Linked DNA regions of Oreochromis niloticus. The protein of the gene in region 1 interacts with the protein of each later gene in a pairwise test. Links are inferred from orthologs where the notes say so. Each region holds a gene or a part of one and is shown on either strand. Other genes may lie near its edges.

Region 1 (6,980 bases):
AGGGTGAGTCTGTGTGAATGACACGTGGTGTAGTAAGAGCTTTGAGTGCTGAAGTACCAAAGTGAGATATAAGGACCATTTACCAAAATCAGCAACACCGGAAGACTTAAACGAGCAGAGGAGGCAGCTAAAGAGTATGATCACAGAGTAAGTGTTTCCACAGTTCAGCAAAACAGCCTCACAACATTTAACCAAGTGAGGATCGATGTCGAGGTCGTGAATCAAAATGTTCTCGCATAACGAGACCTCAGTGGAGTCCTTAAACTCCACTCAGTGTACATTTATGTGACATGAAAACTGTCTAAACAGTACAGTGGATTTCAAAGTTAGCATCAGATTATCTACATATTTCTTAACCTGCTGAGGTTACCTATGTGCAGCCTGATCCTGGCCTCTTGGCCTGGGGGCTCTGCATTCAAGGGGTCGATTTTTAATAGGAAGTCAATCAATAAGCTTCAGCTTGTAGTCACATTTGATAAGGTTTGTGTTCACACATGAAGGCTGCAGTAAGCTTTGTTTATTCCAACACAACAGTGCTCATCCACAGTCAGACTGAAGCCTACATGATGATGATGATGATGATGCATCTCTATAAAATAAATGCATTCTTTAATTTGAAATCAGGAGACTTGAAATACTCAGGAAGCTGAATCTCCTAGTTGTCCTGCTTCGTGTTATAAACATGACACAAACAAACAGAAACTGGAATGCAGTGACGTGTTTCAGCTTCAGCAGCTTCATTCAATCACATCGGTGGATATCTTCCAAAATAATTGTGTTTTCAGACAGGAAGAGATATTTTACTGTGAAAGGGAGGATTAACTGTATAATGAGGGGTACCTGTGAAATCCATCATCTGTGCTGAAAACATCAGCAGCAGGTCTGATCCAGGAGCAGCGCGACAGAGACGAGGGACCGAAGCTTTTTAAAACCTTATTATGGTCCAAAGTCAGACAGGCTTTTAACTGAAGCTGTAAATGAAGCTGACTGTGATCCTGTTTCATGTCATCATGCACAGATACACGACCTGCTGGTAGAAAGAGTTTGTCTGACCTCTGTGCTCGTTACAAGCAGCACCGTGTTTCACAGCTACACCTTCTCAAACAGCGATGCTGAAGCTGAAAGACGGCTTTGCAGCGTTTTATCTGCTGTCTCTGATACTAAGTGGCACAGCTGTGATACTCTTCCAGCATAGAAATATGTAAAACAATTAACAGGCCAACTAGTAAATGAGAGTAACTGGGCCCATGAAGGCATTCGTTCACGGTGGCAGGGCACACTGTGGTGCTGTAAACATTAGCCTGAGCTCTCCACAGATTGAGATGTTAGCTTTTGTATGTTTCACTGCAGGAAACAGAGCCACCGGAGACCCATTGTTGTGGATTAAACCAGTGGGATGAACGGAGGAGCGTGAGGGGGAGGGTGGTGGAGGGCATGGTCACAGGCAGCTGGAGGAGGATTACCTTATAGTCACATATCTTTAATAAAGGCTCAATGTGAGCACAGACTGCTGCAGTGTTATGGAGATGAAGGTGTAAGGGTGAGGTCAGTGAAGACTGAGCACCCCCACAGACTTCTCTGGTGACCCTGAAAGCCGACCCCCTCCACAGGGTCAGAGGTCACTGACTCTCAGCTCATTCTGTGCTCTGAGTTAAGGACAGAAAACAAACTGTTTTAAACCTGCTGTGCTTTTCCCAAAAACAAACTTTTTCTGTCTCCAGCTCTGCTGCTCGCTCGGCGGGGTTACTACATCATGACCTAAATATAAATGAAAACTGCATTTTTTCTTTTAGATTTTCAGTTTTATTTGAAATCCTATTTTGAATGTGTAGAAATACAGTTATGTGAAATGTATGTGCTGTGAATACAAAGAGCCTTGCTTAGGCTAATGTTTGTTTGTGGAATATTAACAGTCACCACCCATATTACTCCGTAGAGTGGAGAGGAACCCCAATAATTCACCCCCACCCCCACCAAACTAATATCCATTCAACGCTGAACCATCAGCATTGAAAATGTGTGGGTGGGAGGAAAATTGGAATAATGGTCACTGAATTTACATCAAGTCTGAAACAGGTTTAGTTATATCATCGGTATATTATCGTCAGACAGGCTGGGCTCTTGTTCCAAAACGATAAAGATATTCACTGTCAGTGAGATCTGCACATGGTGTCAGAGTAAGAGATGGATAAACATCTGCAGTGAGAAATAAAGGTTATTAATATTGTGATGTTTTATAAAATGCTGTTGCTCTTTTGGATGAACTCACTTCCACACTCACCAGCTTTGAGTGGGATAATTCTGTTTCTACACCGTGTGACTCTCGTGTACACGTACAAACAAGACAAAACTCATGTCCACCTGCAGCCTGTGCAGGTCAAAACACACGAGGCCTGGTCTTTATGAAACTTAAGGACAAACAAACAGCAGCACTTACCGAGGAGTAGTTTTGTTTATCAAATGACAAAATGTTCTGCCCATTAATCAACACTGAACTGAACTAATATCAGTCTAGAAACTCATAGGAGGACAGAGCAGCAATCACACCATAATGTGTGAATATCTGCCAGTGCAGGTGAAGGCGAGGTCTACTTACTGAAACTGTAGAAGGCTGTGAGCCAGCTGAGGAAGGTTACTAGTTTCATTTTGGTCTCCAGCGTCCTCGCTGTTAAAGCTTCTCAACCCGCAAAACCCCAAAATCCAAAAGAGGAAAAAAGTCAAACGGACAGCCAGTTTCTTCTGTGCTCTCCTGCTGCGTGTCTTCTTTGGTAGGACAGCATAAACGGACACTTTCTGTGTCAGATCATTGCTCCTCTTCTGTCCTTCTCAGCATTCAGCCTCCACAAGGTTCATGTTCAAAGCTGCTCTGAGCATCGAGCGAGGAAGAGACCTCAGTGTGGACAGAGCTCATTAGTTATTCTGCTTCATTGTTGTCAGTGAATGGACACTGACACAGAGGTTTGTGGCAGGTTTGCGTCCTACCAACCAATCACAGCCCCAGAGCAACATAAGGGTGGTAGCTCAGCCCGGGAGCCATGATTGATAATCATTTAAAGAGAGGTCTTCTGGTTGGCCGCTGCCTGATGGACCAGCTGTGGCCTGAGCCCGAAACCCCTCGCAGGCTGGCTGGAGTTGTGATCCTGGGATACTTCCACCAGGCATAAAGAATCCAAGTGGAAAATACTCTGGATTCACAGGAAATCCAGTTTGGATTCAGGAGGGTTACATCGAAATATTCCTTAGCTATGCTGCAATAGGTCATTAGGGCTTTCCATGAGTGTTTCTTCTTCACTTACCTTTTTCATGTGTTTATAGACCACTCTGCATTTCATCATGCTGTTGAGATTTGGCACTGTATAAATAAAACTGGACTGAATTCAGCTGAACTTGTGAAAACATGAAACAAACACCTAAGCTGAGGCAAGTGAGGCCTGGTGTTTGTTCCTTTCATGAGTAATTATGGTAGGCCAGTATTTAAAAATAGTGTGCTGTATTTAGTCTACTTATACTTGTCTGACATTAACATTTGTTTGGTGATATGAAACATTTAAGTTGAACAGATAACTGTTTGTTCTGGAGAGAAGAGGAATGAAAGTCAGTAGAAGCAAGACAGAATACTTGTGTGGGTGAGAGGGAGACAGGTGAACAATCAAGAAATACAGGGAGTGAAGGTGGTTTAAATACCTCAGGTCAACCATCCACAGCAACAGACAGCGCACAAGAGAGGTGAAGAAGAGAGTGCAGGCGGGTGGAGTGGGTGGAGGGGTTATTTGTAGTGAGCCCTACTATGATGGGTGGTTTAGCAGAGGTGGCAAAAGTACACCATTCTTTACTTAAGTAGTTAAGACAGACTAATTTGCTTGATGAGGGAAAGTTTGGGCCACACTCCACTCCAGTTGGTGGCGCTAATGCACCATTTCGCTGTTTGCAACCTCCAATAAATGCCAAGAAGAAGAAGAAGTGACGCAGTGATATCACGGACCAGGAAGAGCAGCGTATTTACTACAGGACGAGAAGCTTTACCAACCTATGTGTTCGTTTCAGACAGCTTCATAAGTAAGTATGGGCTGGTTTCTTTTCCACGGTAAACGCCAGCCTCAGCGACGCCATGTTGTTTCTTTGTCTTATTCATCACACTGTGTTACCGGAAACAACCAACAGCTGACAGATTAGTGTCCCGAAGCTAGGAAGCGAGGAGCCGAGCCCGTCCAGCAGCCTGCAACACCCGGGAGATAAACAGAAAAAGCCCGACGAGGTCGCTGGCTTGGTGATTTAGGAACACACCAAATTAATAAGAGCTTACGTTCCCAAATATGGCTGCGCGTCGGCTGGCACACGCCCAGATAAACTAGCTAACTCGTTAGCAAGCTAACAGCTGTTGTTCCGACTAAGTGCCATTATTTTCAGCTCCGGTCTGCCGTCAATAACTGTACCCGGACTTTGAGACATGCAGCTGTACAAACCCCAGAACCGCACCGAGGAGCTGTCATACAGTGAAACCGAATCGGTGCTTTCTGATCCCTCTCTTTTTCTCTGCAGCCAAAGCTTAAGGTCCAAGGCTCCATCACAAACATGTCCTATGGTAAAGCAGAGAGCCGCTCGGTCCCACGGGACTTCGGCACCCTGATACAGACATGCAGCTCCAACATCCAGAAGATCACACAGAACAGTAAGTGCTTCACTTCCTTTGAAACGGCAGTGTGATGTGGCTGTACTCTGTAACAGCGAAAGGGTCCCATATAAGAAGACCGGTGTTTCTGAGGTGGGGGGTGTTTAACTGTAGTAGTAAAAAAGCATAAATAACTGGTCTCCGAGCACGCTGAGAGCCAGAGCTGTGCAGAGAATACCATTATTTTTATCATGGTGCAACCGACACAGCGAAGGTGAGACAAAATTAATGACAGTGTTTTCCAAACGTCTTCTTTTGCTGCTGGTTCAGATAATTTTGGTCAGTGAGACATGAAACCTGCAGATTCAGAATCTGTGACATTTCCAGCTGTGTGTCCGTGTACAGATGTGGCCCACGGGCCATACGTTTGACACCCCTGCTCGAGGCTTTTTAAATGCCAACTTGTTTTTAGACCAAAGATTTTCTTGTTCTTACAGCTCACGTGTTTGTTACAGTTGTTTGTTGTTTTATTGGTTTACTATTGTGGCTTTCACTTCAGCTTTTTCCACAGTACTGTGCAGTAGCAGAAATTTCTATTAGTGTTCTCTCCAGTGTGTAACACTGTTAAGACATCCAAACTATGACACAATATTTATGTTGTGAGAAAGAATGACACCAAAGCTGGATTTGTGTTGAGTTTCAAAGGAGCTTATTTACCTGTAACAGCCTCACATACGTTATTCTCTCATCCAGCTTCATTAGGCCCTCTCCTAGAGCACTTCATCAAGTGTTCGAGGCTTTTTTTCTTTATTGCCACTGTGTAAACAGATTATAACTCAAGTAAAAAAGTGGCACCTTCCTCGACACTTCCTGTCGCCTTTAACAGGGTGTGGACTGAGTCATATGTGAAAGCTGCAGCAGGATTTTCATTGAATATGAATACATGTTCATGCCCACAATGTCCGACTGCATGTTGATTGTAATATTTTTGGGAAAGATTTACAAAAGTATTGCAAGCAATAAATTGTATGACCTGTTTACCCACAAAGTCTGCACACAAGCGAAAAATGAACAGTTTCTCAAATTAAGGCGTGTCCTTTCTGTGAGAGGCTTTAAGCAGTGACCCGGCCAGGACAACAAATACAAACACAGAATCACCCAGATACACCTGAAAAACTGTACAAGCGATTGAACACAACAGCCAGATCATCACTGGGTACTTTTCACTTCCTTATATCGTTGTTTATGTGTATGTTCTGAAATCCCTCAGCTTCTGTTTCAGGTCACACTGATGATGATGATGATGATGATGATGGCTCATAGCAAACACACGTGTCTGACACAAATGTGAACATTAAGAAGCAGCATCAAACTGTGATGACTACAGATGATGTCATCTCTGTATAACTACCAGGAACAAAGTGCAGCTTCTTTCTTGTGTCACTTGTATATTTTTCTTCCAAAACTGAGTGCTATCATTGTGTTCCCATGGCAGCGGCTCAGATAAAGACCATGGTGAACCAGCTGGGGACCAGACAGGACACCAGTGAACTGCAGGATCGGCTGTATGTACCGATATCATCTCCTCTGCTAAACAAACACACTTTCAGTCACCTTCACTTTCTCAGAGCCAGCGCTGCCACGCTGTAGCGACTCTGTTGAACTGTCCTATAAGAAATGTATTTGTGTAATTATTAGAAGGTCTTATGGTCTGTCTGCTGTTTGAACTGTTGGTGTTCACAGGCAGCAGACACAACACTACACCAACCAACTGGCAAAAGAAACCAACAAACACCTGAAAGAGCTGGGATCAATCCCTCTGCCCTCATCGCCTTCAGAGCAAGTAAGTACTCGTTTACATGTCCTAATGAAAGTAGCACTGTACTGATTCTTCTATAGCTTACAGTCACAGCACTTTCTACAACATGCCTCATTCACCCATCCAAAGTTCCCACTGCTCCTCCTCCTGAGCTACAGCCACCTAACAATGGATGATGTCAAACTGTAAGATAAATATGCACACTAAGTTTGAAAGTGTGACTATGGAGCCTGTTCTTACAGCACAGGCTGAGTGATGCTGACAGACCCACTTGGTTTAATTGGAATTTCATTCAGCCAACATTGTGGCTCAGGACACACACACACACACACACTCAGGACACAGTGTGTACAGTATGTCATCATTCGTTGACATTTCATGTGTGGTGAAGGAAAAATTACTTTGAGACAACTGCAGAGTTTAGCTTAACAAATGGACACATACAGCTGAGATATTTTTGCTTTCAAAATCAGGATATTTTACTGCTGACTTTTCCAGTCTTCTACTGTCTCTCCGAAGCTTTGCAATAAAAACTCTGGTGCTGCACGTGGT
Region 2 (7,011 bases), on another chromosome or scaffold:
AGAGTCAAACTAAAAACTAAGACACAATTATTTTTAAAGTAACTTCTGTTTCTTCAGTTTTACCTTCCAAGTAATGTGGACTAGGAGTTGTAGGAGAGCAGGGTGAGTGGCCTCCTGGATCTGTACTGATCTGTTTGAAAGCACATTACACAACTTTAATGGGTAACGAAACATACCAACATCATTGAATAATATAAATTAACAAAGCAAATAAAACTATTATTGCTCTGGATTCTCCCCTAATTATCCTGAACAAGCAAAACACGTCTTGAATCCGGCAACATGTACCGACCTGTGCAGATGAATCTAGGTTGGTCCCGGTGCGTCTGCGCAGAGTATCACTCTGGCACACTGTAAGCAGTGAGGACGGTAGAATAGAACGAAAGTCATTGAAGGATCTGCGCCGTACACCCTCTGTTTCCTCTGTAACGCATCGTGCCTGAGGAGAATCTTTGGGGAACAACTTGGATAACAGAGCTTCATCTGTGTGGCTGTAGCGGCCAAATGCCCGAGTCATGCCAAGCAGGCTGGGAACAATATACTTGCACAGGAAGACTGCAGACAAAAAAGAGCAGCGTTAAGGTTCTTTTTTTTGTTTTAAAAGCAAAAGTCAGAATGTTTGTTGCATTTCTATCTATACCTTTGTCATGATTATCCGGTGTTTGGCACATATCCTGTAACGCCTGCATGACCTCCATTATAGTGTTTAAGATCTATAGGGAAAACAGTGCAAAAACAGTGAGTTAGCACTTCAATGCAATGCACCCCAACCCTGAGAATAATATAACGATTTATCACCACTTTTTAAACAGACCTCTTGTCTTGAGTCTGGATCCCTCTGAGCCACATCTGACAGAAGAGTCACTAGACAGAAGCTGAAGTTTTCTGCTACAGGGAGAAATTCTGAGGAGCAGAAAGTTACACAGATACAGTTGAATTGAATGCCTCATAAGGTTGAACAAAAGAAAAGAAATAATGATAAGCAGATTTGCCAAAAATGTAAACATCAGATACAGAGCAACACAGCATTAAGTGGAACAGAAGCAGCAGTTCACAATATGCAATTCAAGTATAAATTAACCCATCTGTCCAGTGTAATACATCTCAATACAGTACAATTAATTAATAAGAATTGCTAGAAATTCTACTGCCACAAGTAAAAGGAGTCTATTGTAAAACTAAAAGCCTCACTATAAGAGGATTCTTCTTACCCTTTCCTTTCTTTCCTGAGCTTTCTTCGATCCATTGGACCCGTGGCAGCCCTCTCAGTAGGCTCAGCAAGTAAGAAACAAGTATGTCTTTGTGCTGCAGGAGTAAAACAAATCATTACACACCACAAACAAGTGGACTCGGCAGCATAAAATCAGCACTTTTGCATGCCTGACAAGCACTGACGGATCAAAACAACGAGGTTATCTCACACAAGCAAATCTGGGTCAAAGAAAGTGTATCACAGCTTTAAAAATAAAAGTAAGGCATCCAGCACTATGCTGTCAGACAGAAAGGAAGCTTTCCCAACTGTGTCTAAGTGTGATGAGGTTAGCGGCTTACACGGCTAACTGCATGTCTAATCGCCAGCTTAATCAGATTATGAGAATAAGCTTATCACAGGGATACATGTAGAGTCCGAGGAGAGCGCAGGAGCAAACGTGGACTAATAGTTCTAATACAATATTACAATTACTATACCTGTGAAACAGAGTTTGATAAGCAGTTAGGAAAATAGAAAATTGGTATTGTGTCAATATGCAATGCCAATACTTCACTATCTAATGACCTAAACTATGAAATCTTAAATCTACTGTATTACCATAACAGCTTGAAGTAAAATGAAAATACTGTATTCAAAACACTCCTCAGCCTTTTACTGACAACCACCCACCTGTAAGCCAGATTCCACCAAAAACACAGCCAGTGCAATAACAGCATCTCTGCGACGCACATCCAGAGTGAACACACCACGGACTTCCACTGGACACATACATTGCAGCTTCTGGACCTAAAAGGCCAAAAAAGAATATTAAAGTAACAGTCCAGGCTGGTAATATTCACACATTAAGCTGATTTATCTCACTTGACAGCCCAGTGTGTTTGTGTCACACAGCATATGAAAACATAACACTACAGCATTAGACAATATGTCAAGTGTTAAAAACTGTTTGTATAGAAGCTTGTTTCTGCTACTGAAAAACAAGCATGTGTTACCATCCATAAGTCAAAATTTGGGGGTTATTTTCTCAAGTATTACCCTTAATAACTTGAAATTTCAAGTCATTTTCTAATAAGTATGAGTTACTAAGTAAAAGTTTTGAGATAATTACCAAAAGTTTTGAATTACAGATAGCAAAATACTTTTTTTCAGTTGTGGAAGCAAACTTCCAGATGTTTCAGAGTGAGTGTATGTTCAAATGAAAGTAATATTTGTTAAGACTTGCACTGTTCAATTAAATTCAACAACACTAATAGAGAGAAATCCCCAACAATCAGACAACCCTCCCTTATGAGCAAGCACTTGGCGAAAGCAGCTAGGAAAAACTCCCTTTTAACAAAAATAAACCTCAAGGAAAACCAGACTCTGGGAAGGGCAGCCATCTGCCAAGACAGCTTGGGGGTGGGGGGTGGGAAACAGGACATAAGACACTGTGGAAGAGAGCCAGGGCTTAATAATAACTAAGGGTTAAAAGTAAAGTGAGATATAAACACAGGGACAGTGAAAAGAAAAAGAAGAAGAAACATGGTGCATCATGAGAAGCCTCCAGCACCTTGCCCTATTACAGCTTAACTAAGGGATGGCTCAGGGTCACCTGATCATCTACCCGATGACATCTGGAATCTGTACACTTTTATGCACACTGTGTAACCCAGCAAGCCAGAGATATTAAGATACATGCATTTATGATATCAGATAAACTGCTAGGCAGTTTCCTCCCTACAGCTCAAACACACAGTAGAACTGGGAATTACATAACATAACCCATAATAGCCCTTAAAGTTACAACACTTGGTGACAGCTTATTGATAATGGCTTCATATGTTCCCCTCTAATACCCTTTACTTTCATTTACAAAATGTACCCATTGTGTTTTGTTTTGTTTTTTTAAAAACCTTTCCTATATTGGCAAGACCCAACTATCAATCTGCAACAGGTTTCCAACTATATAACACATGTAGGCGGATTTTGATAGCAGTAAAGACAAACAGAGCAGCCTGTGAATGAACTCCTGTCTCAAACATTTCTCTGTAAACCTGTTTGACTGCAGTGCCGATCAAGCTTGACCGCTCTGTCCGTCCGATGCAGTAACAGGCACCACACAGCAACGCCACTTTCCTCTGCACTGCCCACTTTTCTGCTTCAGGGTTTTGGACACCACGGCTCGCGTTTTAGAGATTTCTAACCACGGAGTCGCGCACACAAACATACAAACATAACTGTTAAATGTTAGCTTGGTTGTCATGTCGTTGATCAAAATAAGCCACCGCCTGTGCGGAAGCGCAGCTACACCCTGAACAACCCTGCCACTGCTTCTAATTACTAACATGGTTAATTATTGCGTGTTTTTGGAGCTCAAGCTTGTTTTCTCACCTTTTCGACCGGTGCGGGGCGGTGTGCGGCCAATGAGCGGGCCAGCGACAGGACTGTATTAAAATAAAACCCCCTCGTACCACCTCCCATTACGGACATGTTTACCCCTACATTAAACCAGCGCAATTCATCGCTGAGAGGAAACAAGCGAGCGGGGCTGCCTGGGAAAGCCGCAGTACGGCAACTCAGCAGGGACATTTCTAACAGGGGCTCTTCGTTACCGTAGCAACTCACTCACAAAGGGCTTGAAATAGATCAAATTAAGCAAATGTATGGATTGTATTTATATTATTTACATTACAACCTGCGTGGGTTTTTATCAGTAAGTAACCCCAATATCGCCGTGGTGTGCGTTTCCTTTACGCAAGATCAGCTGTCGCGACAGTGTGTGTGCAACGTCATCAAACGCGATAGGAAGAGTTCAGTCAGCTGATAGAGCAACAACAGCGTCTGCCACGGCTCCTGTGGTCAAAGGTTCGTCTGTTAAGTTAATCGTTCTTTTTTGTGTCTTTTTTTTTTTTTTTTTACACTTTCGTTTTAGACAGCATTTGTTCAATAAGAGAAAATTGCCTGTGGTGACGCTTGCGGATGTGGTCGTTTTAGTTGACTGGCAGTTAAGCTAACAGTTGACTAGCAAACCAACACCCCGGCGATACATCAAACATTTCTTGACTTGCAATACTGTTTTATTTTTCTCCTCTTAATATAACACAGCAGGTATTGTTGCAGATGATTAATGTGAAATATGTTGACAAGCCTAACTGTTGCTCGAATTACTTGTTGGACAACGTTGAAGTTAGCCGAAGCTAACACGCTGGAGCTTTCGTAATCGCACGAGTTCAGACAAGTTTCGAAATGAACAATTAACCTTCTTTTATCAACAAAAACTTATTGTTGTAATGAAACTAATTATTATCTAAATAGCAGATGTATTATGTTACGCATCGTTTAATTACCGGTATTCAGCTATCCGATCCCAAAATATAGTACATAACTTTTCTTCCCGACGAGGTGCGATCTATCCATCGATCTATCCATTTTCCTCCGCTTATTCAGTTCATGGAATTCAACATGTTGTGCCAAAGAGTGGACTTAAAACTACTTGGTAATCAAAATATTACCAAAACAATTAGCTTCGAAAGCTGGCTTAAAAAGCAGGAGCAGTGTCCTGTGTGTTAGCTCTGCATTTCTCCCTATGACTCGTGAGATGGGTTCCAGTCTAACGCATGACCCTGAATTGGATAACCAGAAGAAAATGGATGGAATGGCTAGATATGTGTGCAGATGCCTGTGCTTAACTGAGCCTGGTTCTGCCGGAGGTCTCTTCCAGTAAAAGTTGAGGGCAGGGGAGAGGAGGGGATCCCCTCTGCTTACACGGAGGGGATCCCCTCTGCTTACACAGAGGGGATAATTTGGGTTATCTCTCTGCTATTATAGGCTTTACCTTTCAATGTAAAGCACCTTGAGACAACTGTTGCTTTTGCGAAATTAGTTGAAGTCACAATAAACAACACTCAGACTGTTTGAAGGATTTAATCAGTGAATAAGTGAATTTAAAAGATTATCAAGTCTTGGGAGACAACGTTTAAGAGGCGTGGTTGAGATGGTTTGGATATGTGCAGAGGAGGGATATTAGATCCATTGGACAAAGCATGTTAAAGATGAAGCTGACAGGCAAGAGGAAAAACAAGAAGACCACAGAGAAGATTCATGGATATAGCGAAGGAGGACATGCAGAGGGTTTATGTGGCAGAAGAGGATGCCAGGGAGAGGGTCAGATTGTGGCAGATAATCTGTTTAGGGAACCCATAAAGGGAGCAGCTGAAAAAAGCCAAAGATCATCAAGACTGGAACCAAATATCTAATCTTTTATTAACCTGTTTATAGTTTTATTGTGTTCCAAGAAGTTGTTTTAGTTTTAAGCAATCTAAAATCCATTATTTACAGGTAACAAAAACATGTAACTTGATGATCATGTGATACAGTTGAAAGGCTTATAGTCCTTTAGCTAAAATTACCAAAACATTCGTTTTTGCTCCACAGATGGCCTACCCTAAATCCCACAACCCGTTTGCAGATGATGACGAGGAGGAGGATTTCAAGCCTAAAAGTAGGGGGTTTGACGACGAGCCAAGTGACAGCGGGTTGAGTGAAGCAGAGAGGAGGCAGAGATGTCTCCAGCAGGAAGTGATGCGTACAGCGCAGTCTGCTGTGGATAGCAGTTACCGCTCACTTTCCCTCATCTATGAATCAGAGAAGATGGGTGTGGAAACTGCAGAGGTATCTTAAATGAATAAGGTTCACACTACTGTACAAAGAATTGACACTGTCTTTGAAAAGGCGACAATCAACAAAGAGTTATTTTTAAAGGCCCCGTCTTCCCATACCTCATCCTGAATTAGTCCCTTCTTGTCTACAGGAGCTGATGCGACAGGGTGAGGCTATAAAGAGGACAGACAAGATGCTGGATAACATGGATCAAGACCTGAAGACCAGTCAAAGGCACATTAACAGTATTAAGAGTGTGTGGGGCGGCCTTGTCAATTATTTTAAGGGAACGCCAGAGACAAAGCCACCACCTGAGCAGCCAAAGGGCTACAAGGCCAGTGAAAGGTAAGTTTGTTTTTATTCTCTGTGTCAGTGAGGTGTGGTAGCATCATCCAGTTTTAATTTCTGCATGTTTTAACTCCTTAACAAATCAAAGAGTTCTGTGATATAGAGGAGTTTCAATATATTAAAGTTTGATATGCTGTTATGTGTAGGGGCAAGTTATCATATTTTACAACAAAGCATTAAAACAGTTACTCTGAATTTGTGTTAAAGTAATGTTAACTTCTTTTAGAAGTTCAGGTAATTCATTTTTGTTTTTTACTTTCATGCGTACAACTTGTTATTGACCGTCTCTCCCTAAATGTTTGAACAATTCTTATCTGACTTTCTCAGATTACAGACTGCCTTGGCCAGCAGCAGAGAAAATGAAGATAAGTACCAAGCTAGCCACCCCAACCTAAGAAAACTGGATACGGGAGGTAAGTGTTGGAACAAGAACCTCAACATTACGCTATCTTCCCACCACTTACTGGCTCTCACTATTTCTTATTTCATTGTTTTAGGATTTGGAGCTACTGCATCAATAGATGATGGCTCATCTCAACAGAATGGATACCCTAAGAACATATACCTGAAGGAGGCTCACCAGACTCTTGACAAAAATTTAGGTAGGGAAATGCTGCACTTATTTAGTTACATAACATGTTTTTATATAAAGTTTGTCTGCTGTAATTGAACTGATGTCTTTTGTGAATGTCTTAGATGAGATGTGTGTAGGCTTGGGTAGACTGAAGAATCTTGGACTTGGTCTGCAGTCTGAAATTGATGGGCAGGACGACTCCATTGATGCTCTGCTAAATAAAGTGGACAAAATGGAT

Evidence for each region. The genes of interacting proteins can lie anywhere in the genome.
Region 2: the proteins of stx12 (region 1) and snap29 interact in binary tests that used the Homo sapiens proteins (3 or more experiments, as listed by UniProt). The link is inferred for Oreochromis niloticus from reciprocal best matches to the Homo sapiens genes STX12 and SNAP29.

What each region holds. Positions count from the first base shown.
Region 1 is NC_031985.2:38,176,111-38,183,090, reverse strand, and holds the start of stx12 (syntaxin-12), read left to right. Parts: upstream 1-3,899; 5' UTR 3,900-4,056; intron 4,057-4,539; 5' UTR 4,540-4,572; coding exon 4,573-4,669; intron 4,670-6,104; coding exon 6,105-6,174; intron 6,175-6,352; coding exon 6,353-6,452; intron 6,453-6,980. Other genes in the region: si:ch211-57n23.4 (immunoglobulin superfamily DCC subclass member 3), read right to left, coding at 2,597-2,645. UniProt on the Homo sapiens protein: SNARE promoting fusion of transport vesicles with target membranes. Together with SNARE STX6, promotes movement of vesicles from endosomes to the cell membrane, and may therefore function in the endocytic recycling pathway.
Region 2 is NC_031977.2:26,077,482-26,084,492, reverse strand, and holds the start of snap29 (synaptosomal-associated protein 29), read left to right. Parts: upstream 1-3,918; 5' UTR 3,919-4,057; intron 4,058-4,138; exon of another isoform or gene 4,139-4,300; intron 4,301-5,626; coding exon 5,627-5,863; intron 5,864-6,002; coding exon 6,003-6,196; intron 6,197-6,526; coding exon 6,527-6,612; intron 6,613-6,696; coding exon 6,697-6,801; intron 6,802-6,895; coding exon 6,896-7,011. Other genes in the region: pi4kab (phosphatidylinositol 4-kinase, catalytic, alpha b), read right to left, coding at 64-130, 293-555, 641-713, 815-903, 1,212-1,305, 1,883-1,999, 3,584-3,781. UniProt on the Homo sapiens protein: SNAREs, soluble N-ethylmaleimide-sensitive factor-attachment protein receptors, are essential proteins for fusion of cellular membranes.